Linked DNA regions of Alligator mississippiensis. The protein of the gene in region 1 purifies or fractionates together with the protein of each later gene. This does not show direct contact. Links are inferred from orthologs where the notes say so. Each region holds a gene or a part of one and is shown in the gene's direction. Other genes may lie near its edges. The genes, in order: SUGT1 and NOD1.

Region 1 (11,162 bases):
AAAATTGCCCTTTCAGGGTGCTACAAATACACATGCCCAGAGAATGGTTCAAATGCATTACCACTGAATTTTTGTTGTTATATCATTTACTTCACCAAGGGAAAAGATTTCAGAGCCAATAGCTATACTGAATAATTACATTAATATTCACAGACTTCAGTTACATTTCTAAACCAGCATATTTCACTGCAGTGTCTTGATGTTTTAATGAGTGATGGTAGTTTGTACACCTTGGAGCACAGATTGGATAGCTAACAAAGCACAGAAGACTGTGGAACCAAGTTCTACTCAGCTGAAGGTGATGAGTACATAGTACATGGGTGATTGAATGGGAAGTTCTGACCCAGGAACACACACATTGTATAAACACTTGCAATGTTCAAAATTAAGCACATGGACACCTTTTTTATAGGATGTGGGGACTCTTGTTATTGCATCTTGAATTATTTAGGTTTTTGTGTTTCCAGCTGACAAATCTGTGAAACAGACAATGAAAAAGTAAAGTATCATGTTCCGGACTGACTAGCTTGCTGTGGTTGATACAGAAAACTGAATTAATTGATTCCTAGTCTTTCTCACTAAATTGTAGAATGCTTCAAAGGCAGGAGCTCAATTCTGGGAAGGGTTTATTAATGCCTTAACATTCACCTGTGATACCCCTTCCCTTTTAGAGTTATGTTGTTTTGTTTGATGGAAAGCAGCCTCCTTACTTTTTCCCCCAGATTAATAATATCAGTAGATTGCTGCCAAGTGGCTATTCAGTAGTGAATCTGGGAACAGTCTAATATGTTCTGTTTTCTAATTTTGCTAGGACTTTACAGACCCCAGCCCAAGTTCCAGTGGTTGTTTCACCTGGAAACCAGCAACTTCACACTGTAACACTCCAAACAGTGCCTCTTACAACAGTGATAGCCAGTACAGATCCAGCATCAGCAACAACTCCCCAAAAATTTATCCTACAAGCCATTCCTACTTCACAGTCCATGACAGTTCTTAAAGAAAATGTCATGTTGCAGTCTCCAAAACCAGTGTCTCCTCCTTCATCCATTGTTTTTACCCCTGCTCAAGTTCAGCAGGTTCTCACCAGCAATGTGCAGACCATTTGCAATGGAACAGTCAATATGGCTTCATCTCCATCTTTCAGCGCTCCTACCCCCGTGGTAACTTTCTCAGCCAGCAGTTCACAGGTGGTAGCTCATCCTTCTGGCACCGTGATCACTTCGGTAATTAAAGCACCAGAAACCAAACAAACGGTTATACAAGGAATGGTAAAAGAGGAGACAGAAGATAACAAAATAGCGGATACTGAGCAGTCGGAGCAGAGGTTCCAGCAGCAGCCTTTTTTGATGGTGTTGTCCAATTCCAATGGATTCCCAGCTAATATACAAGTAAAACAAGAAAGTGAACAATTGGAACCAAATTCATATTAATAAAAACCAACCCCTGTGGATGATGATTTTCATAAATGTGATGGAACCTTTTCAGTTCTTGTATATATGATTTAATTCCAAAGCAGGTTTTACTGAGCTACTTAATTTCTGCAGCTGATTGTTAGAAGTCATTCTTTAGACTGGGTTTTGATTTTCTGTTAATTGCTAAATGTTATCATAAAAATAAAATTATATACTCATGTTTCAAAATGCAAGCATGAAGGAACATGCATTTTATGCTATGAAAACTTTCTCTTGAGTTTTTGGCCAAAGTTCTGAACGTCTTATATACTGAGCATTTTCTGTCTGTTGCTAATTTACATTGCAATAACATATTATAGCCTTTTCTGTTTAATCTGCAAATGTCACCTGACTTTTGACGCAACAGCTACTTTCCAGAGAACATCATTTTCATTCCATGTATATGAATTTTGATTATCAAGTTTACCAAATATCTATTTCATATCAGTTAATTAAATCAGTCTAAGTAATAGACAGTAGCAACCAGGTATCCTCCTGTTGCATTTTTGCACAAACTAATGGGTGTGCAAAATAAGAATACACTCCTGTTGAGAGTACACAAAACATTTACACCAGTAATGGACATTATCAGATCTATATTTTTGATATAAGAACACATCAAATATATTTAATTACAGAAACTAGTGGCATCACTACTGGTGCAATTATTTTATACCATTTTGTGGCTACAGATTTTAACTATCTTGCTTTCTATTTCAGATTATTTTGTAAGGATGAAAAGTGAATTGTATACAATTTATGCCGCTGTTCTGAGATTAATACTTTTAAGAATTCTTTTTTCATATGTAAATAATGTACATTTAATTTTACAAGGAAGTTTTTCAACTACCTTGTTTCTATAGAAAAAATTTTGATAGATGAAAATAAGATCATTGTGTTTAGAGGTCTAAAGTTATATGTATTCATATTCCAGAGTGAATTTGTATTTAAAGACAAATTTTTAAATGATGGAGCCCTTTGGATTTTGAGTTCCTTGTCTTTTGTATTTTTAATTGGTTTATTATGAAAATAAATCAAGTGGAAAAAACACAAACTGATACTGATCCACAAGCTATTTGTCTGAGCATGTAACAGCTTTGTGCCATACTGTTACAAGTGAACTGTAACAGCCTACTCCAGACATACTGAATTAACTCTTTATATTTTTGGTAACAAGCACAGGTGGTTTCAACGTTCTCTCTTACCTCTGAAAGTCTCTGCACAATTACTGGACATCACAAAATGACAAACTACAAATTGTTCAGGGCTTTTTGGAATCAAAATCACAACATGCTTCTTTCTGTGATGACTTGCTGAAAACTTAAACAGAGTCCTCTGATAACATGGAGTTGGGACAGTGAACAAACATTTGTAAGCTAAATTCTAGTTTCATTTAGTTCTGTAGTTCTTCAAAATTCTATTGGTTTCCATAGTAAACTGCTATACTGAGTGTGCGGGCCGGGTGCGAGGCGCAGCCCGTCTTTGCGCACGCGGGCTGTGGCCAGCAGCCCGGGCACGCGGGGTCGGAGAAGACCGGGGGCGAGCTAGAATTAGTCACGGACGCGTAGTGGTTGATTTAAAGATTGTTTACTTACACCAAAGATGGTCGTGGTGTAGGCTGGACAGTTTCCAGGTACAGCTCCGCTTAAATCCTTGTTAGAGGACTACGACAAATTCGTTCTTTTCCCCGGAGTTGTTGAAGCTCCGTGGGTTCGGTAGTTTCTTGTACAGGAAGGGATACGTCTAGGAATCTATCGGCGATGGGGAGAGGCTAGAGGCTTTTAAGAAATGCGTTGGGTCCATAAGGATCCGCAGTGCTTAGAGATCTTCACACGAGGCGAAGGTTTTTTCTCTCTCTCTCTCTCTCTCTCTCTCTCTCTCTCTCTCTCTCTCTCTCTCTCTCTCCTGGTGTTCATGGAGTCCTCCAACTTAGGCGGAAACCACTCAAGCTCTTTATACGGCTAGCAAGCCAATCGCTAGCCGCCACGTGTGCATATGTTAGAACCGGCCAATAATTTGGCACAAATTCTCATACAAATGGTGGGAACTCCTTGCACCGTGCATTTCTTAGATGCAAAAGAAATGCACCATGCAAAGAAAGCTTCAAATTGGCGGGAAATTCTCCGTTGCACCGGGGTTCTCTTCTGCAGCAGAAAACTCCACCGTGCAAAGAAGCTGCAATTTAGCGGGAAAAATAATTTAGCAGTGCCGAAGCACACACAAACAAAAAATCACAACTTTGGGTTGTGACACTGAGCAGGTATAAAGATTGGCTATATTAATTTTCATCAAAGGATAAATCGAACTCTATTTTATATGAATTTTAATGTATCTAATTTATTAGAAAAACAAATTATATTTTGACAAGTTTAATATATTTTGCCATAAGTGTTCATAATATGGAGTGTGGAAAATTCCTTTATGGAGGAAACCATTTAAAATGAACAGAATTCCACTCCCATTCACAGTGTGAAAGCTACGAAAAACAGTAAGGTTTCTAGTCAGGAGTTTTATTGGCCATGTTCACAAAATTAAAGGCAGCTTACCATCCCGTTTTTTAGTGCTAGATAGAGTATATGGGAACACTTATTGATATTGATAGTTTTATTTGGTTGAAGCACTCCTACATGCATGCACGTGTGCTCAAAAATCTGAGGAAAACTTGTCTATTAGAGAAAGACAAGCTCTATAATAGCGATGGGCAATTATTTGGGTCCGTGAGCAGCATAGGCGGTTTTGGGGAGCTGTCATGGGTCGGTCAGCACCCCCTCTTCCTGACCCCCACCCCCTTGCCTTGCAGCTCCTCCCCGCCACTGCCACTAGTGACCAGCAGCAGCTGAGCACACAGCCCTGACCTGCCTCTGCTCTGGACTTGCCTTGACTGGAGTGGACAAACCCTAGATTAACTGGGACCCATGTACACAGCCCTGACCATGGCACACCCCATACCTGCTCCAGACTGGCCTGCCCACAATGAGCAGCTGTGGTAGCCAGGCAGAAGCTGCTGCTGCGTGCAGGGGAAAAGGAGCCACCTCCCCCCTCACCATTACCAGGTCCTTCTTGTTGCAACCTCCTGGAGCCTGCGCCCAGGTTGTCCTGCACCTCCTCTCCACTGCTACTGCTGCCCTGCTGGGTGGCCCAGAGGCAGCACTGGTGGCAGTGGTGACCGCAATGGAGATGAGCCACAGGGCAGCCTGGGTGCAGGCTCCAGGCAGCAGAGCAAGAATAGCCCAGCAGTGATGAGGAGGAATTGGCTGCTTTTCCCCCATGCCCAGCAGCAGCTTCTGCCCAGTTGCCACCACTGCCACTCGTGGGCGGGTGATCTAGAGCGAGGGTGGGGCAGCTCAGGGCCGGTGGTGTGCACATGGGTCTTGGCTGGTCTGGAGGTAGTCCACTCTGGCCAGAGTAGGTGCAGGCTGGGCCAGGGCCGGGGTTGTGCATGCAACCAGTCTTCATGGAGTCAGGGACCAGGGGCCACAGCAGCAGCTGGAAGGAACCACCACCTGTGAAGTAAAGAAAACTTTTAGATTCCTAAACAGGCCATTGACTCCTTCACTTTCTGAGTAGTAACACCAGTGGTGCCTCGCCCCTGTTTTTGCCTGTAGTGGAGGTGGGGGGCAGTGTCCTGGATTTCACATTAACCAGAGAATCAGAGGAAGAAGGACCAGAAAAGGACCCTGGCCATGGTCAAGAGGTAATTTGGCTCAATGAGGTATTTGTCCATTGTTCCATTTGGTCACCGTACTTAGGAGCGAGTGAGTGACTGAGTGAGAACTGGGTCATCAAAGTTGAAGCATTTCTTTATTTTGAGGCGAGCAGTCATAAGCAGGGATCCTAGATTTCTCTGAGGAAAAAACCCCCAAATTTTTGGATATAACCCCACTCCTCCCAAATCCATTTTCCAGTGATTAAAGTGAAACGCTATGCGTGTGTGTGGTAGGTTTCATTTTAATTGTGGACAAATGTGGACTTTGAGTTAATATTTTATATCCAAAAATGTGTTTCGTTTTGTTTTTTATTAGAGAAAACCAGGATCCTTGGTCATAAGACAATGCTGGCTTCAAACCCCAAACTCAGTTAAGACTCCCTGAGAGCGGCTAGGGTTTTGCTTTTGCTGCATGGCAGAGCCTCATCAGAGCTCAGAGACATATTAGCACATAAGAAATGCTGGCCCAGAAGAGCTTTCCATCTATTAACTCGTCTGTCAAGTATGAAACGCCAGAAGGAAACATGACTACATCCTGCTTGACACCAAACAACTTGGAGGTAAACAGACTATTGCAGCTTTTCTCTGCATATAAAATGAGCTGTTCCAAACTGGAGATTTTATCACCTTTGACTCTCCTAGGAAATATGAACTTTCATTTCTATCAGGAGAACTTTTACAATCTTTTCGCCGATGCCCGATGAAGGGTGCTGGTGCCTGAAAGCTTGCAATTAAAGAATCTTTTTGTGCAAAAATCTAGTTGGTCTAATAAAGGATATCACCTCTACCCCGTTCTGATTGCTTTTTTCTCTAGACCAATATGGATACAATGTGGACAGCAGACCGCATATATTTTGAGCACTTTTAATCGTCATACATTGTACAGGGGTGAAATGTCCGTACGCACACGACAGCAACCGCGCGCTCTGCAGCCTTACAACGCATCCGCACAACCCCGCCGGGCCGCGCCCCAACCCGGGCCCTGACCCCGCCCTCAGCCGCGGCTACGCAGGCGCGGGCAGGGAGTCCCCAGCCCCTCCCTTGCTGAGGGGTCTAGTCCAGCCGGCCGCCAGGGGACGCTGTGGCACCGCCCGCGCGTGCGCAGACCGACGGAAACAGCAGTCCAATGGCCACTAGACACAGACGGCATCATCGGGCCAAGGGGCGGGTGGCGCCTGCGCGCGACGCTATTAGCGCCCCACCCACCAGTGGCTCAGCGCAGGAGTCCTTCTATTCCGGCCAGTCCTCCCGCTCTATGGCCATCACGTGAGGCCGCGTAGGGCGCACGGCATACCCCCTCCGTCCCGTCAGCCCTCGCGCGGTGGCGCGGCGGCTGGGACTTGGTTTCTCCAGAAGTTTCCTGGGGGCGGGTGCGATGGCGGCGGCTTCTCCGCGGTGAGTCCCGGTGCCCTTCCCCGCTGTGCCAGCCGCCGGCGGCCCGCCCCGCGCTAACGCTGTGTCTCTCGGCAGGTTCTCGGACGCGGACATCGATTGCGACCCGGTGGCGGCGGTGCAGGTGAGGCTGGGGGGCGGGGCTGGGTCTCGCCGCAGGGTGCGTCTCTTTCTTCCCAGTCCCATCCCCCCCGCCCGGCGCCGCATGGTTCGCTTAGTTCGGGGCTTAATAGAGCGAGTGCGGCGGCCGCACCAAGGCGCCCCGGGGTGGGGGGTGGATCCGAGCGTTCTACCCGGGGCCTAATGGCCTGAGTACAGGGGCTGGTTGTGTCTTCACCCCCCGCACCCAAATGGTTTGTTCCCCTGGGGGGAGCTAAGGGGGTGCGAGGAGGGGTGGAAGTGGGGGGGGGAACCTATGTGCTCCTGAGGGGACACTGCTGAGGAGGCAGGGGCTTCTGTGCCGGAGCCGTCTGCTTCTGCACACTTAAGTTAGAAAGCACGCTCCTTTCCTTGCAAGCCAGTCTTGGTCTCTGGCCTGTTGGTCCAGCAGTTCAGAGTCTCACTGAGACAGTCAGGGCTGTAGTCCAGCAGCCCTTTGTTCCCAAACTCTTCCTAGACATTTTCTTACTTGCACCTTCTTATTTTTACTACTGCTTTACAGGCTGTTTCTGTGATTGCTTTATTGGTTTTCCAAAAAATCTTACCTGTGTCAGCCTCGCCTTGTTGGCATGCCTCTCTTACTGCCCAGCTTCCCTTTCTTCCTATTTTTCTCTGTGTTGACATTGGCGGTATTTTTACTCTGGTAAAATATGTAGCTGCTTGTTTATCATTACCAGATACTGATACAAGATCATAAAAAATGAGGGGCCTCAGGAGGTCTAGTCTAGTGGTTCTCAGCCTTTTTTGTGCCAGTACCCATTTGTAAACATTGATGGCCAGTCCCGACCCAGTGCTGCTCACTCCTGACCTGCTGCCCCCAGGCCCCAGCCCCCCAGTGTGTGGGGTGAGGAGGTTGTGGGGTAGGGGGACCCCAGGCAGCCCCTTGCAGGCTGGAACTGCCAGCCTGCAAGGGAAAAGCTGCAGTTTCCCACATTTTTCTCCTCTAAAGGAAAACTTGTTTTTAAAGTTTGCTCATGACCCTTTTATATATTCTTGTGACCCACTTTTGTGTCGTGACCCCTGGGTTGAGAAACACTGTCCAACCCCTGCTCAAAGCAGGACTATCCCCAGCTAGATCATCCCAGCCAAGGCTTTGTCTAACCAGGTCTTAAAAACCTCTGTGGATAGAGAACCCACCGCCTTTCTAAGTAGCCTGTTCCAGTGCTTTACTATCCTCCTAGTGAGAGAGTTTTTGCTAATATGTAACCTAGGGTTGGGTATTTGACCAGTCAAGTAAATCTTGGTCAATTGACTGGATCAAATAGCCAATGAACTATGGGTCAAACATTGGGGGAAAAAATTGCCAATAAGTCCAAATACTCAGAAAAAGCATACATTTTCCATTAAGAAATGTGTCAAAATTTTTTTTTTAAAGTTTTCTGTTCAGAAAACTACAAAAAAGTGTAGGTTTTTTGTGTGTAAAATTGCTATAATCTTTGACCAGTCATGAAATAGGCAGTCAATTGACAGCATTTGATTGATCAGTTGACTGGCTTGCCAACCCTAATTTAACCTAAACTTCCCTTGCTGCCACTCAAGACCTTTGCGCCTTGTTCTGTCATCATCGCCAGCCAATTAGCTATGCAACATCTCACAAGAGTGGACTCTGGTGTAGCTTCTGGTTATGTCCCTGGGTCCCAGCGCCTCCCCCACCCATACCCAACCAAGACACCCTCCCTTCCAGGTAAATATCCTCTCCTTTCTCAGTACCTCTCTTCTTTCCCCTCCCTACTCAGAAGCAACCCTTTTCTCCCCCTCACCACTTCTGCCTTTGGGCTCAGGGAGGTCTACTGTCTGTTGCTGTCATGGCTTCTCCTATCTCACTCCATTTGAGGGCTGTGGGAAGCCAGACTGGGCCAGGGCCAGGAACAGCAACAGTTGGACTCTTGCCTGTGTCTGTTCCTGGGCTGGGCTAGAGGGGAACTCCATGGAGGGACCCAGCAGTGAGGGGGAACCTCCCTGTTGCTACTGCTATTCCCAGGTGAGCCTGGCTCCCCACACACTTAACGCAGGGGCAGGCAAAATCCAGCCTGCAGACCAAATCTGACCCGTGAGGCCATTCTGTCCAGCCCACGGGGCCCCTAAAAAAACTTGGAAAATTAATATTTCTCTGCTGTTGGTTCCTGTCAAAAATGACAGGAACCAAGGGCAGTAGGACCCAGGGGAAGCCTGGCAGGCTCCATCAACAGGGGGCCTGCCTGGCCCCACCCCCCAGCTGGAAGCCCCTTCTGGGGCCTGGTGCCCCACGCTGTAGTGCCCTGTGTTGCAGCTGCTTGCAGCCTGTGTGGGGCTGCCTGTGCCCGCTCCAGACAGCCCTCTGCAGGCTGCGAGCGCCTGCAGCACGGGGCGGGAGAGGGACCCCTTCCCCCCCGCGCTCAGCTTTTCCCTGGTCTCCTTCCCTGTGTGGAGAAAAGCAGCCCCTTTCCTGCCCCATGGCTGGTGCCCTGCGCTGCAGGCGCTCGCAGCCCACGGGGGGGCTGTCCGGAGCAGGCACAGACAGCCCCAGGCAGGCTGCGAGTGGCTGCAGCACTCAGCATGGGGTGGGGAGGGGCTGCTTTCTTCCCCGCACTCAGCACCACCTTGTAATCCGGCCCCACTTGCAGGCTGGCAGTGGGGCGGGTTACAAGCTGGTGCTGAACGCGGGGAAAAACAGCTCCTCGCCTGCCCTATGGCCAGTGCCCTGCACTGCAGCTGCTTGCAGCCTGCCTGGGGCTGCCTATGCCTGCTCTGAACAGCCCTGCACAGGCTGCGAGCGCCTGCAATGCGGGGTGCCGGCCGTGGGGCAGGTGAGGGGTCACTTTTCCCCATGCTTAGCACCAGCTTCTTCCCTGCTGGCGAGCAGGGGGTTGGGGCTGTGTGCTGCCCCCTGCCTGTACTGGGGCTGGGGGGCACTTGGTGTGAGCAGGCGGGGAGCCAGTAGGAGCACAGGGCCTGCATGGGTGTCCCGGGACCGGTGCCAGTGGAGCCTAGAGCAGGGTGGCAGGAGTGTGGGGTCCCAGCTGGCAGGGGCTCTGTGGACCCGGGCCAGCTCCCCCCCTCCCTGTTGGTGCAGCCCAGCCCAGCTCCACGGATCCCTGCTGGCCTGTGCCCCGTTTTGGGCCCCACTGGTGCTGGCCCTGGGACATTGGTCCCAAGGTAGTGACCAGGGGGTGGGGCACCTGTCAAGGGGCGGGGCTACCCATGTGGCCCTGGACAGCTGCCAAAACTGGGTAAGCAGCCCTCCGTTCAAAATAATTGCCTGCCCCTGCACTAATGGGAGCAGTACAGGAGCTGCTCTGAAGCTCCCCCCACCCTCCAATGGTTACAGCACCAGTAGCAGGTGAGAAATGGGAGGGGAAGAGAAGAGAGGAAGGAGTGCTGCTGAGTATAGAGGGGAAGGGAAGAGGTGCCGAGAGAGAGTGTTTTCACTTGTTATAGGGACTTTTAAAAAGTCTCTGGCTGCTGTGTGGTGTGAAAGAGCATATGATCTACCACTGTGCGCTCTCTGGATCCATCCCTGTTTGAGAGAGGAACTTCCTGGGAAGGGTCAGAAGAGCGTTTTACACTTAATTTTGAGAGTAGCCCACTTTTGTGGTCGCACTGGCATCATTCGCATGGCTAGGAGTTTCACAGACTTTTCTTGGTGACAAACTTGTTTACATTGTTCATAAGCCTCCCCACTTCTGGCCAGTGCTTTGTTACAATAGCTATGGGAGGTCATGGAAGACGAGTGATATTTGTTCCCCTGGTGGACTTGCAGTGTCAGACTTGAGACTTTGAACTGCATTTGTTTTGAACTGCAAAACAATGCGCTGAATCCTTAGGAGTGCAGTTGTGTAACGGGCCTCCCTACTGCTTTTCTACTCATATGGTTTGGCCTTTCCTCCTTCATCCTAGTCCTTTGTTGGGACAATCCGGAATTCATTGCTACAGGTGCTCTCTAGGCTCATTCTGCCATGTTGAAATGCAAGGAATGGTTCCTTAAGGTGTTCATCTCTGAACACCAACCCAAAACCTTTACTATGAGACTGGTCTGTCTGTTCCTCAAGGCACTTGAGGTTCCTGCAAGCTCTCAACATTTCAACCTGCCTCATGGTGGGTAGTTGAGTTCTGAAAGTAGGAATCCAGTAAAATTATAGCTCAGCAAGTAGAATTATTGTCCAGAGGTCTAGGTCAGAGATCCACCCATGCCTGACTGCTCAGTATGCTAGTCAGCAACATACAGCCTGTGAAGCCAGCTCTACCAGTGTGGTGTGTTCTGTAGTCAGGTGGCATGGTGAGTGCAGTGGCAGCTATGTGCTGGGTTGGAAGCACTGACCCTTCTGGGACCAGAGCTAGGTTGATCTGGCCCATGGCTCCAGAACCTTGCCAACCTGGCTAGTGTAATGAAGTTGTACCTGTTTCAGTAGCCAGCCTACATCTGCACAAGGGGATGTGGCTAGCATGTCCAGATGCCTTTGACTGCCCTGTATGAA
Region 2 (10,892 bases), on another chromosome or scaffold:
GCAGAACCAAAAGCTTGTGAGATCAAACTGTTTCACTGTAATGTCATAGTAAGACAGTGTTTCTTTTCACTTGTAGGTCATCTGCATGGGTGCAAAACAGAATGGATTACCACCTGACTATCAGAAGAAATTAGAACTAATAGAGACCAATGGCTATACAGGACCAATGTCAATCTTTGAAGAAATTGAGGCTGCTGTTAAAAAAGGGAAACAATAACTTAATAAAATCATAGAAAAGTAGGGCCAGAAGGGACCTCCAGAGGTCATCTAGTCCACCCCCCTGCCTGAGGCAGGATCATCCTTATCCAAACCCATTGTCTAACCCAGGTGTACTCCTAGAGTAATTCCAGATCCACATTGCCTGATTGTTCATTTTGATTTAAGCATGAATTTTCTCAATAGGCTGATTAGCAACTTCCTTTTGTGATAAAGAATGGGGCAGGCCTGGTGTACTTCTATAGGAAGGGACTGGATTCAGCAAGTTTAAAGCCCTGGCCTTGCAAAGGTATGTGTGTAAGTTGGGCTTGACTTCATGCACCATATAGAAAGCTATATGTAAATCTTTATGGAATCTGGACCTAATTCTCTGTAATCCCCTTATCATACTGTTGGTAAAGTTCATGTTGTCACATCTTCCTGTTACCGATCATCATAAAAAAGAAAGCCAGTTGGGCAGCTTCCCGTTAGGAATATTAAGGCTGCAGAATTGAGCCGCTTGGTTTTTAAGTGTTGTACATTCAGTTCTCCAGTCTGTTTTAAAAGTCCATGGGGGTGCCAAGTGAGAAATTATACTTTGGCTTTTTACTTAACTAACTTCTGTGGAACAAGACCTCTTCTGGCTGGAAGGTATTAATGTGATTATTAAAAATCAATCATTTAGCTTCTGTTTGGTCATTAGCTGCTAAATCACTTCCTGTGAATTGGTGTAATAAATTACTGAGTATTGGTACTAACTTGTGTGAGAGACATATGCCTTTGTCAGTCCACTCTAATTAAACTCCTACCAGTACTGTTTAAAAAATTCCTACCAGCTTCAGCTTAAAAAAAAAAAGGGAAAATTTTAAAAGTCAATAGATATACTTCATAGGAGGTATTTCTAAAATGCTAATTCTACAGGTCACCCTCTGCTATTGAAGAAACTACCAGCTAAGGATAGCATTTCATCTGTAATCGTCTTTAGTGGTAATTACTAGGGATTGGTGAATAAGGCCAGATAAAATAAGTGGCTGCAATTGAGTTGTTGTTTTTGTTTTTTAAATTCCGAAGAGTTGGTTAGCTATTTTTATCCCGTTGGATCATTGCATGTCTCTCTACTTTCTGTAGAGGTCAGAAGGATATGCACAAGCTCTATTCCAGTGGTTATTGAAATCAATGGCAGTCTTTTCATTCATCACAATGATTTGAATTGGACCCAAAAGAGAAATGCTGTGAGTCTCTCTACAATGCTCACAACCTCATATGAATTGGGAAGTGTTGTAAACTTCGCAGGAGTCTGACCTTTTGATAAATGATTACTGATGGGGAACTGAACAATGTGAGGAAACACAAAACAACTGAATTTTAATTTTTTTTCTTTCTATATGGAAGATCGTTTAAATATTTTTTCCTTGATACACAGGAGATAAGAGTTACATCCAGAGTTAATGGGACTATGTATTATGAAATGTCAAACTTGCACATGAACTGATTTATCTTGTCTTTATTGCACAAACTTTTTATAAGTGTGTGCCAGAACAGTTCATTTCATTTCTAGGTGTCATGTGAACGATGTTCATGGAAGCTGAGATCTCAGATTTTCATTACGCCCCATTATATGCATACTGTATACTGTACTGTATACTGCATATATGAAACCTATGTAATAGCAACTAAAAATTGGGGGGTAAATAAAGTAACAACTGCCAGATTTCTTTTGTGTCTCTTTAGTGTAAGTTGTCTTGCTTCAAAAATGCTTATTGTAGCTTCTGTATGGTAGCTGCTGAACAGGGACTGCCAGTGGAGGCTGCGGGCCCCTGCCTGCTGTCTCTGCCTGCTGTTGATATCCTAGACCAGCCCCACTTTGCTTCTGTAGCTTCTGTAACCTGAACCTTTTGTATGAATGTACAACTGAACTTACCATACTGAGAATACTCATCTGTAAATTACTGCAGGTAAATTTGTTTCTATAAATAAAAAAGTGAGTCTAATTAAATTAAAAATTAAAGCAAGACAAATGACTATTCAGGCTCTAAGGTGCTTAGGTGATCTCAAAAAAAAATGTTTGTTTTAAATGTCACTTGAGCAATTCCAACTGAATGCTTTTTAATTCTTATAAGATGGTTAAAAGGGCACAGTAAAACACTCCTGATCTTATTGCTACTTTAATAAGACTCAGGCCAAAATAAAACAACTGTCAAAAGAAGAGAAAGAAGTAACTTTTATCAAGGATGCTGAGAATGATAATATAAAAGAAGAGCAGTTCTGGCGATCCTGTGAGCTGGAACTGAAAAGCAGAGAGACAGAATGAGAAAAGGGTCAAACTACAGCTGCCCCTGTCAGTTCCATCTGGTACAGGACAAAATCTGGAAGAAGGTGAGAACTGCTATTTAGTGGGTCAGACCATAGGTCCATCTCACCGAGTCTGTGGGTGACTGGGTTAGACGAGGGTTCTGTTTGTGCCGTTCCCTTCTCACTTAGAATCAGAAAATCAGGTTTGGAAGGGACTTCAGGAGGTCATTTAGTCAAACTCCCTGCCCAAAGCAGGACCATCCCCAACAATATCATCCCAGTCAAGGCTTGGTCTAGCTGGGTCTTAAAAACCTCTAAAGATGGAGATTCCACAACCACTCTGGGTAGCTTGTTCCAGTGTTTTACTACCTTCCTCATGCAAGTTTCTTAATACAGTATCTAACCTAAGCTTCCCTTATTACAGCTTACGATCATTGCTCCTTGTTCTGTCATCTGCTACTAGGGCTGCACGAAATGGAAGCATTCTGTTTCGACAGAACAGTGTTTCGTTTCGAATTGTGTTTCAAGTCGAAATGGCTGTTCCGTTTCGTTCCATCAAAACATTTTGCCGTTTTGATCCTTCGCTCATAGGATATAATGGGAAAGGTTGAAACTGACTATAACTTTGCCATTTCTATCCAGATTTGGATGAAACTTGCAGGAATGGTAGCCCCTTCTGAGAGCGTGACCCGTGCCAAGTTTCAAGAAGATAGGTGCAGGGGGTTCAGAGAAACTGCACCCCAAACTCTTGAGAGAAAAACTCATGTCTTGTGCCTGTTAAGCCACAGTGGTGTCAAAACTGGAGGCATGCTAGCCCATGTGGAGTAATGGTCACAGGCTGGATGCCCTAGTTGTGAAGTAGTTTTTCCTAATGTTGAGCCTGAAACAAGCCTGAAACCATCTTCCAGGAGTTTGTGACCATTACTCTTAGTTTTCCCCAAGGGTGCCCTGGTGAACAGTTGTTCACCGAGCCCTAGATGTATGCTTCAGATGTAGCGGTAAGCTGCTACCAAGTCCCCTCTCAGCCTTCTCTTTTTCAGGCTGAAGAGTCCCAGGTCCTTTCCTTGTATAGCTTGCTGTGCAAGTTTCTGATCGTACAGGTAGCCCTTCTCTGGACTCTCTCAAGCTTTACCATGGCCCAGTTAAGGTGTGGCACCCAGAACTGGAAACAGTACTCCAGCTGCGGTTTCACCAATGCTGAGAAGAGCCGAGTAGAGTAGAAGAATTACTCCTTTGCAATGGTTTTGCTGGAGATGCATCAATTGATGCATGCCAGTGTATTGTTGGCTCTGCTGGCTATAGCATCACACTGCTGGCTCATGTTCATACTGTGGTCAGTTATTACCCCCAGGTCTGTGGTGGCAAATGATGATCTTCAGTCCTGCTGCCTGATGAGAGGCAACAGTTGCACAAGCACCTAAGTCATGAGTTTTGCCTGCCAGCAGCTAGGGGTGCAGGTCCCCAGAACCCCCCTGTACCAATCTCCTTGACAGTTGGCAGGCTTAGGGGCTGCAGCAGGGCCTAGCAGCCAGGCCTGCAGTAGTTTCCCCTCCCCCATGCTCCAAGACAGACACAGTCCCACAAGCACCCATGTCACAAGTTTTGCCTGTCAGCAGCCAGAGGTGCAGTTTCCCCAAACCCCTGCACCTATCTCCTCGACAGCTGGCAGGCTTCGTGGCCTCAGCAGGGGCTAGCATACCTGCAGTTTTGACCCTGCTGTGGCTTAACACTTACATGTGACATGAGTTTTGCTTTCAGGATTTTGGGGTGCAGTTTCTCCAAACCCCCTGCACCTATTGCCTTGAAATGTGGCAGGCTTTGTGGCCTCAGCAGGGGCTAGCATTCCTGCAGTTTTGACCCTGCTGTGACTTAACACGTACACGTGACACAAGTTTGGCTCTCAAGAATTTGGGGTGCAGTTGCTCCAAACCCCCTATACCCATCTCCTTGAAACTTGGCACACTTTATGCCCCCAGAAGGGGCTACCATTTCTGCAAGTTTTATACAAATCTGGCCAGGAATTACAAAGTTATAGGCTGTTTCAACCTTCCCCATTATAGCCTGTGGGCGAAACGTCGAAGCAGTGTCGGAACGGCAAAACATTTCGACTTGCCTTGTTTTGTTTTGACCATATCTGTTTCGTTTCGATTTTGCTGTTTCAACCTTGAAATAGGTTAAAACAGCGTCGAAACAAAACTGGTGGTGAATTTTTGCACAGCCCTATCTGCCACCACAGAAAACAGTTGAGCTCCATCCTCTACAGAACCACCCTCCAGGCTGTTATTAAATCCCCCCTCAGTCTTTTCTTCCCCAGACTCAGGGGCAATGCGTAAGGGGTGCACACAGGTGCACGTACACCCCCTGAGCATGGCAGTGCACCCTCTACAAAAAGGCAGCATCTGCAGGTGGTCTGTAATTCCTGCTAGTGGCAGCTGCAGGCGGTCGCTGACCCTTGGTCAGCGCTTGCCACCCCCCGCCACCACCGGTGACGTCTGCGGGAGCTCCCTGCTCACTGCCGCTCTGCCCCCCCAGCTGCCAGGGGCACACACCATTCATGTCCAGATTAAATAAACCCAGTTCCTTCAGCTTCTCCTCAAGTCCCGTTCCCCAGACTTCTCATCAGTGGCAACATGTAGGGAGTGCACATGCACCTCAAGAGCACTGCTGCACCCCCACAGCCAGCATCCCTGCTTAGGAAGCGGGCAGATGGAAACGCTGGTGCCCCCCCTGAGAGCACTGGCCGGGGAGTGGGGGCGCCAGGAGAACCCGTGTGCGTCCCTGGCCCTTCGGGCAGTGTTTCCTCTCAGAGCCAGCTTAGAGGGAATGCTACTTTTGGGTTGCCATGCTCGGCTCCCCGGTCACTGACTGGCCGCTGGGGAGGCAAGTGTCCCCGCTGGCTTAGGAGGCACCAGTCACCCATGCCCCTCATTTTCATTGCCCTCCACTGGACTCCCTCCAATTTGGCCACATCCTTTCTACAGTGGGGGGCCAAAAAGTGGACACAGTACTCCAGATGTGGTGTCACTAGGGTGACCATCATAGAGGACAGTCCAGTTGTCCTCTGTCCTCTATTGATACAAAACCGGACACCTTTATGTCCTCTATTTTTCTTTTGAAGAGAAAAATTTTCTCTTGAAGAGAAAAATAGAGAACATAAAGGTGTTGGGTTTCATATCAATAGAGGAGAGAGTAGCAGAAAACCAGAATGTCCTCTATGATGGCCACCATAGGTGTCACCAGCGCTGAACAGAGGGGAAGAAGCACTTCTCCGTCTGCTGGCAACACTCCTACCAGCGCAGTCCAGTCCCCCCTTAGCCTTCTCCCCAGCCAGAGCAGGAGGCTGGCTCATACCCGCTGATAAGGCAAAAGGACCCCCCAGGTCCTTTTCTGCATGAAGGTTGCCAACCCTCCAGGATTGTCCAGGAATTGGACATCAATCTGCAGGAGAGTGCTGAGGGTCCCCCAGGGCATTCATGGCAAGAAGTATGAAATGTTGAATCCCATGTAGACAGTCGCCCGGTGGGCTTTTAAAGCGTGCCGGTCAGGTGCATTTTGCCCTCCTGAGCTCAGGTCTCCCCGGCGCAGTCCGCGAGGCGAGGAGCCCTCCCGGGGTAGAGTCCGGCGGGGCGGGGCGGGGCGCTGCGCCCCATCCTGCGGCCTCCGGCACGGAAGGGCTCGGCTCCGGGGCCAGCTGGGATGCAGAGACCTCAACGCCGCGGCGGCTGGAGCAGGGGTTGGGCCCGGCGGCTGCCCCGAGGGCGCTGCCACCCCGCGGTTTCTGTGCTATTCGCCCGGGTGTAACGCTGCCCGGGCCCCTGACGCCGCGCGGGGCGGGCTGGACCAGGAGCCGCCGGGGGCAGCTTCCAGCGCCGAGCACTCCCGCGGGGCGGGGAGGAGGAGACGCCCTGCCTGGCTCCCTCCCCTCCCGGCCCGGGCCCCTGGCCTCGCTCCTCCCCTTTCACTTTCCTTTCCCGGGGCCGGAGCGGCGGTAAGTGGCGCGGGGCTGGGGTCGGGCTCCCGCTCCCGCCAGCCGCCTCGTGCCGCCCCGCCGGGCTCTGGCCCGGGGCTGGCCTGGCTCTGCCGGCTTTGCTGTGGGGGGAGAGGGGAGGCAAAAGGACCGGGCAAGGCTGGGGCCCTGGGCCCCAGCCCCTCTGGGAGAGGAGCCAAGGCAGGCAGGAGGGCCCTGAGGAAAGGCAGCGCGTGCCCAGCTTTGGGAACGAAAAGCTAGAAAAGTGAACAAAGTGATCCCCTGACGTCTGCTGTCGCGGTCATGCCGCACGTCTGCGTTTAGTCAGCCTCCGCAAGACTAAGGAAAACAGCCCTGCAGAGGGGACCGGTGGACCAGAGAGATATGATGCCCACCGTCCAGATTGAAGACGAATCTTGCTTGCAACTGGGGCTCTTGCTCTTGGCTTTATTTGCACTTAGTGCATGGAGGGGCTCAGCTTGCCTGCAGATTGCAAGTGGGGAATTTCAGGTTGCTTCAATGGGAGGCGCACCCTTTTCCCAGAAAATTATCCCATGACTCATCTGCTCTTACACAGGGCTTCAAAAATTTACCAGGCAATGTCTAGGTAGAGAGTTAAATGAGGCAGCCAGAGAAAAACAGGGGTAACACTAACCCAGGGACAGGCAATCATTTTGGGCAGAGGGCTGCTTACTGTTTTGGCAAGCCATCAAGGACTGCATGACAGGCAGCCTAGGGCAGATTATTATTTATTTTCTAAATTTTTTAGGGGCCCCGCGGGCCGGATAGAACGGCCTGGTGGGCCGCTTCCAGCCCCCGGGCCGCATTTTGCCCACCCCTACACTAACCTAAAAAGTAATCTGAACCTTTCCCCCTGCTCTCCTAGTTGGAAAGACATTGGGTGAGTGAGTGTGAATGCGTTCTCTTTTCAATCCACTAAGAGAAACAGAATAAAGCCAGACTCGGGCTCAACTGTAAATCCATCCATTTCAATGTGATTTACATACTAATACAGTTTAGGCCTATATGCCCTGCTCAGTGACCATGAGGACAGACATAGAAGTCAGCAGAACTATGCAAACGTAAAAGGCACAAGGCTTTTTGCCTCTTCTCGCCTCTGGATTATGTCGATGCTCTAAGGATCAGCAGGCAGCCCTGTACATCACCTTGTTACTATTGTTATATTGCTAGTAGAGGCAACCCCCGCTTAGTGCTCTTAATCGGTTTCTGAAAAACCAAGCAATAAGCGAAACGGGCATTAAGGAAAACCGAAGGTATTTGACGGCCCAAAATGGTGACTGCAAGTGTTTTTAATGACCCAAGATGGAATTGGCAAGCATTATAGCGAAACTTGCGGAACACTAAGTGAAATCAGGTATCAATTTAAAATGAGCATTATAGCAAAATAGCGGTAAGCGAAACAGTCTTAAGCGGGGGTTGCCCGTAGTGATGTATGTTGGAGTAGTAGTGCCTGAAGGCTCCAATCAGAGTTCCAGTGTGTTAGGAGCTGTTCCCCACTCTTCTCCCCAACTAGTTCCTGGCAAGAATTAATCTTGTTCCAATCATGAACAGATACCAAGCATGGAAATTTATCCGGAAAAAAATCCTGAAAGTGTGAAACAGGCAATATTTTGCACTCTTGCCAAGATCATTCACCAACTAGAATAATAAGATAGAATACTATCTCCCTTATTAGAAAGACTGGAATATTAGTCCAGTAAAACCACAGAGAAAAATTCTTCGTTAAGGGTAAGATAAAGGCTTCTTTTCTTTGTTTTTAGTGGCAGCCCATTCTGATATATGGCAAGAGCTTTTGGAAAACCGTAAAAGGAGTATCAGGAAGCCTACACCGGAGCTCTTTAATGACTCAGATTTGCCACTTCAGTCAAACCCGGAATTAATAAATCTCTGTTTGAAAAGAGCAGTATTGGGGAATCTAATGGCAAATCCAAATAAGGAGAATATACATGAACAAGAACACAAAACTATAAATGAAAATCGCTAGCCAGTTGTATAGAAAGGTGTACCTTAAAAGCAGCATGAACCATCAATCTGTCAGCGAGCATAATTAATTTCTTCTCTGAGTTCTTGTACATCTGTTGCTTCTCAGGCAACCAGGAACAATTAAAAAAGCTTACTGCCATTACTACCATTAAAAAAATGGTAGAGAGAGAGTGGGAAAAACACCACAGAGGAAAGATTGTCTTAGTTATGCAGGAGAAAAGGCAAAGTAACTCCAGTGAAACCATGGGAGCTATTGTGCATTAACATCTGTGTATGATTAGCATATGGCTCTTAAAATATTGGTTGACATAAGCATTACTGATTATAATTGTTACGCTGAGATTGTAAACCTGGATGAAATAAATGTTCACTCACGGACAATTTTTTTTTAAAATCAGAGTCAGGGCTTTGGATAGATTCTGCTAATGCACGGTTATAAAAGTAAAACCAGTTTTCTCTCATCTCTAGGAATTTTGTAGCATCAGTTTTCAGTAAAACTTAGAAACAGAGAAAAATAGGCCTCAAGAAACCATCTAATGCATGCTCCTGCCCAACTCAAGGTCATCCTTGTCTCAACTATCCCAGACAAATGTTTGTCTAACGTGCACTTAAAAAGTTCCAGTGATGGAGTCTCCATAATCTCGCTAGGTAATGTTTTAGAATTAAACTTAAAATTAAGAGTTAAAAATTAAAATTAGAATTAAATTTAATTGAATTTTAGAATTAAAAAGGTTTTCCTCATATCCAACCTAATTCTCCCTTGCTGCAGCTTAAGCTCATTACTTTTTTTCCTGTCCCCTGTGGACACAGAATATTTGATCACCTTCCTCTTTATAACAGTCTTTTTTGTAGTTGAAGGTTATTGTCAAATCCCCCTGAGTCTTCTCTCCTTTGCACAAAATAAGATCGGTTCTTCCAACTTTTCTTCATATCTTTCTAGCCTAGTAATAATTATTTTCGTGTTGCTATCCTCTGAACTCTCTGATTTGCCCACATCTGTCTTGAAGCATGATGCTCAAACCTTTAATGCAGGGGTATGTGTGTGTACTCATATGCCTCTCAAATGTATTGTTTTTTCCTACTCTTGTAAATTCCCTTTACAAGGGTTGCATCTACACATGCCACTATGGTGTCATTGTTACTGCACCGTCATTTAATACTTTGGAAGTATACTGAGGGAGCGCATCACTACAGCAGTGTAGCGGCTGGTTTGTGCCTGCCGACACTACATCACCATAGTGCAGGGGCGGGCAATTATTTTGAGTGGAGGGCTGCTTACTGAGTTTTGGCAAGCCGTCAAAGGCCGCATGACAGGCAGCCAGGGGCAGAAAAATTTAAATTTTCTAAATTTTTTAGGGGTTCCACAGGCTGAGTAGAATGACTTGGCAGGCTGCATCCGGCCTGCGGGACACATTTTGCCCACTCCTACTGTAGTGCATTGCTACAGTGACATAGTGCCACGTGTAGGCATGTCCACGTAATAGTAAAATGTTGGAGGCTCTTTTATAAGTAGTAGTCGAATGAAGGTAAGTTCCTAAAAATAACTTGGGGGTGGGGGGTTACAACATTCTCTTTTAGTAATTTGTCATCTTAAATATCAGTAAATTACCTACCAAATATAGGACCAGAAAAATCAAACCATTTTCAGTCTCTCACAACAGCTCCAAGAAGTGTTCCTGTACAGGTTCTGACTGCAAATATTTAGTACTGCATGTAGCAAGAGAACTCTCCAGTGCAGCGTAGCAGTACTAAATAATCACTTTGGTCAGTAAACAAATCTAACTTGAAGGCACAGAGGAAACATTTATTGCATGGATAAAGGTTGTAGCTGTGTTGGTCTAAATGCAAAAGCAGTCAGTGGGTTAGAGGCAATATCTTTTATTAGACCAACTAGATTTTGCAAAAAAAATTCTTTATTTGCAAGGTTTTGGGCTCATGTGCCCTTCCTCAGGCAAAGGAGAATGCAAAGATTGTAAAATTTCTCCTAGGTAGGTTTCTAATAAGACAGTACTATCCTGGTCACTGTCAGACTTCATCACCAAAGGCTAAGATTATGCCACTTGCCCAGAAGATGACCTGGCCTAGCAGACTGTTCAGTACCTGTTCTAAGGTCTGCTGGCATATCAACTGAAAGGAGGTCTCAAGGTATAGTTTTTGCCAGGAAAATGTTCATGCAGTAAATGCAGTCAGTGGGTAGAGGCGATATCTTTTATTAGACCAACTAGGTAGATGCAAAAAAAATTCTTTATTTGCAAGCTTTCAGGCTCTCATACCCTTTCTCAGGCAAAGGAGAATGCAAAGATTGCAAAATTCCTCCCAGGTAGAAATGAAACCCACCTGACCAGACCCAACCCTGAAAGTGTCAAAATGACTTGTTTTCCCCTGAGCCACACGGTTTGTGTTGCATCCATTAGAGGTGACACAGAATTTCAGA

What was found.
Region 2: the proteins of SUGT1 (region 1) and NOD1 purify together in Homo sapiens (affinity purification with western blotting; 3 studies listed by BioGRID and IntAct, with this or other methods). This does not show direct contact. The link is inferred for Alligator mississippiensis from reciprocal best matches to the Homo sapiens genes SUGT1 and NOD1.

What each region holds. Positions count from the first base shown.
Region 1 is NC_081824.1:407,688,512-407,699,673, reverse strand, and holds the start of SUGT1 (protein SGT1 homolog), read left to right. Parts: upstream 1-6,446; 5' UTR 6,447-6,532; coding exon 6,533-6,552; intron 6,553-6,627; coding exon 6,628-6,673; intron 6,674-11,162. Other genes in the region: ELF1 (ETS-related transcription factor Elf-1), read left to right, coding at 812-1,430. UniProt on the Homo sapiens protein: May play a role in ubiquitination and subsequent proteasomal degradation of target proteins.
Region 2 is NC_081828.1:140,550,154-140,561,045, reverse strand, and holds the start of NOD1 (nucleotide-binding oligomerization domain-containing protein 1), read left to right. Parts: upstream 1-6,166; 5' UTR 6,167-6,475; intron 6,476-7,222; exon of another isoform or gene 7,223-9,106; intron 9,107-10,892. Other genes in the region: GGCT (gamma-glutamylcyclotransferase), read left to right, coding at 77-217. UniProt on the Homo sapiens protein: Pattern recognition receptor (PRR) that detects bacterial peptidoglycan fragments and other danger signals and thus participates in both innate and adaptive immune responses.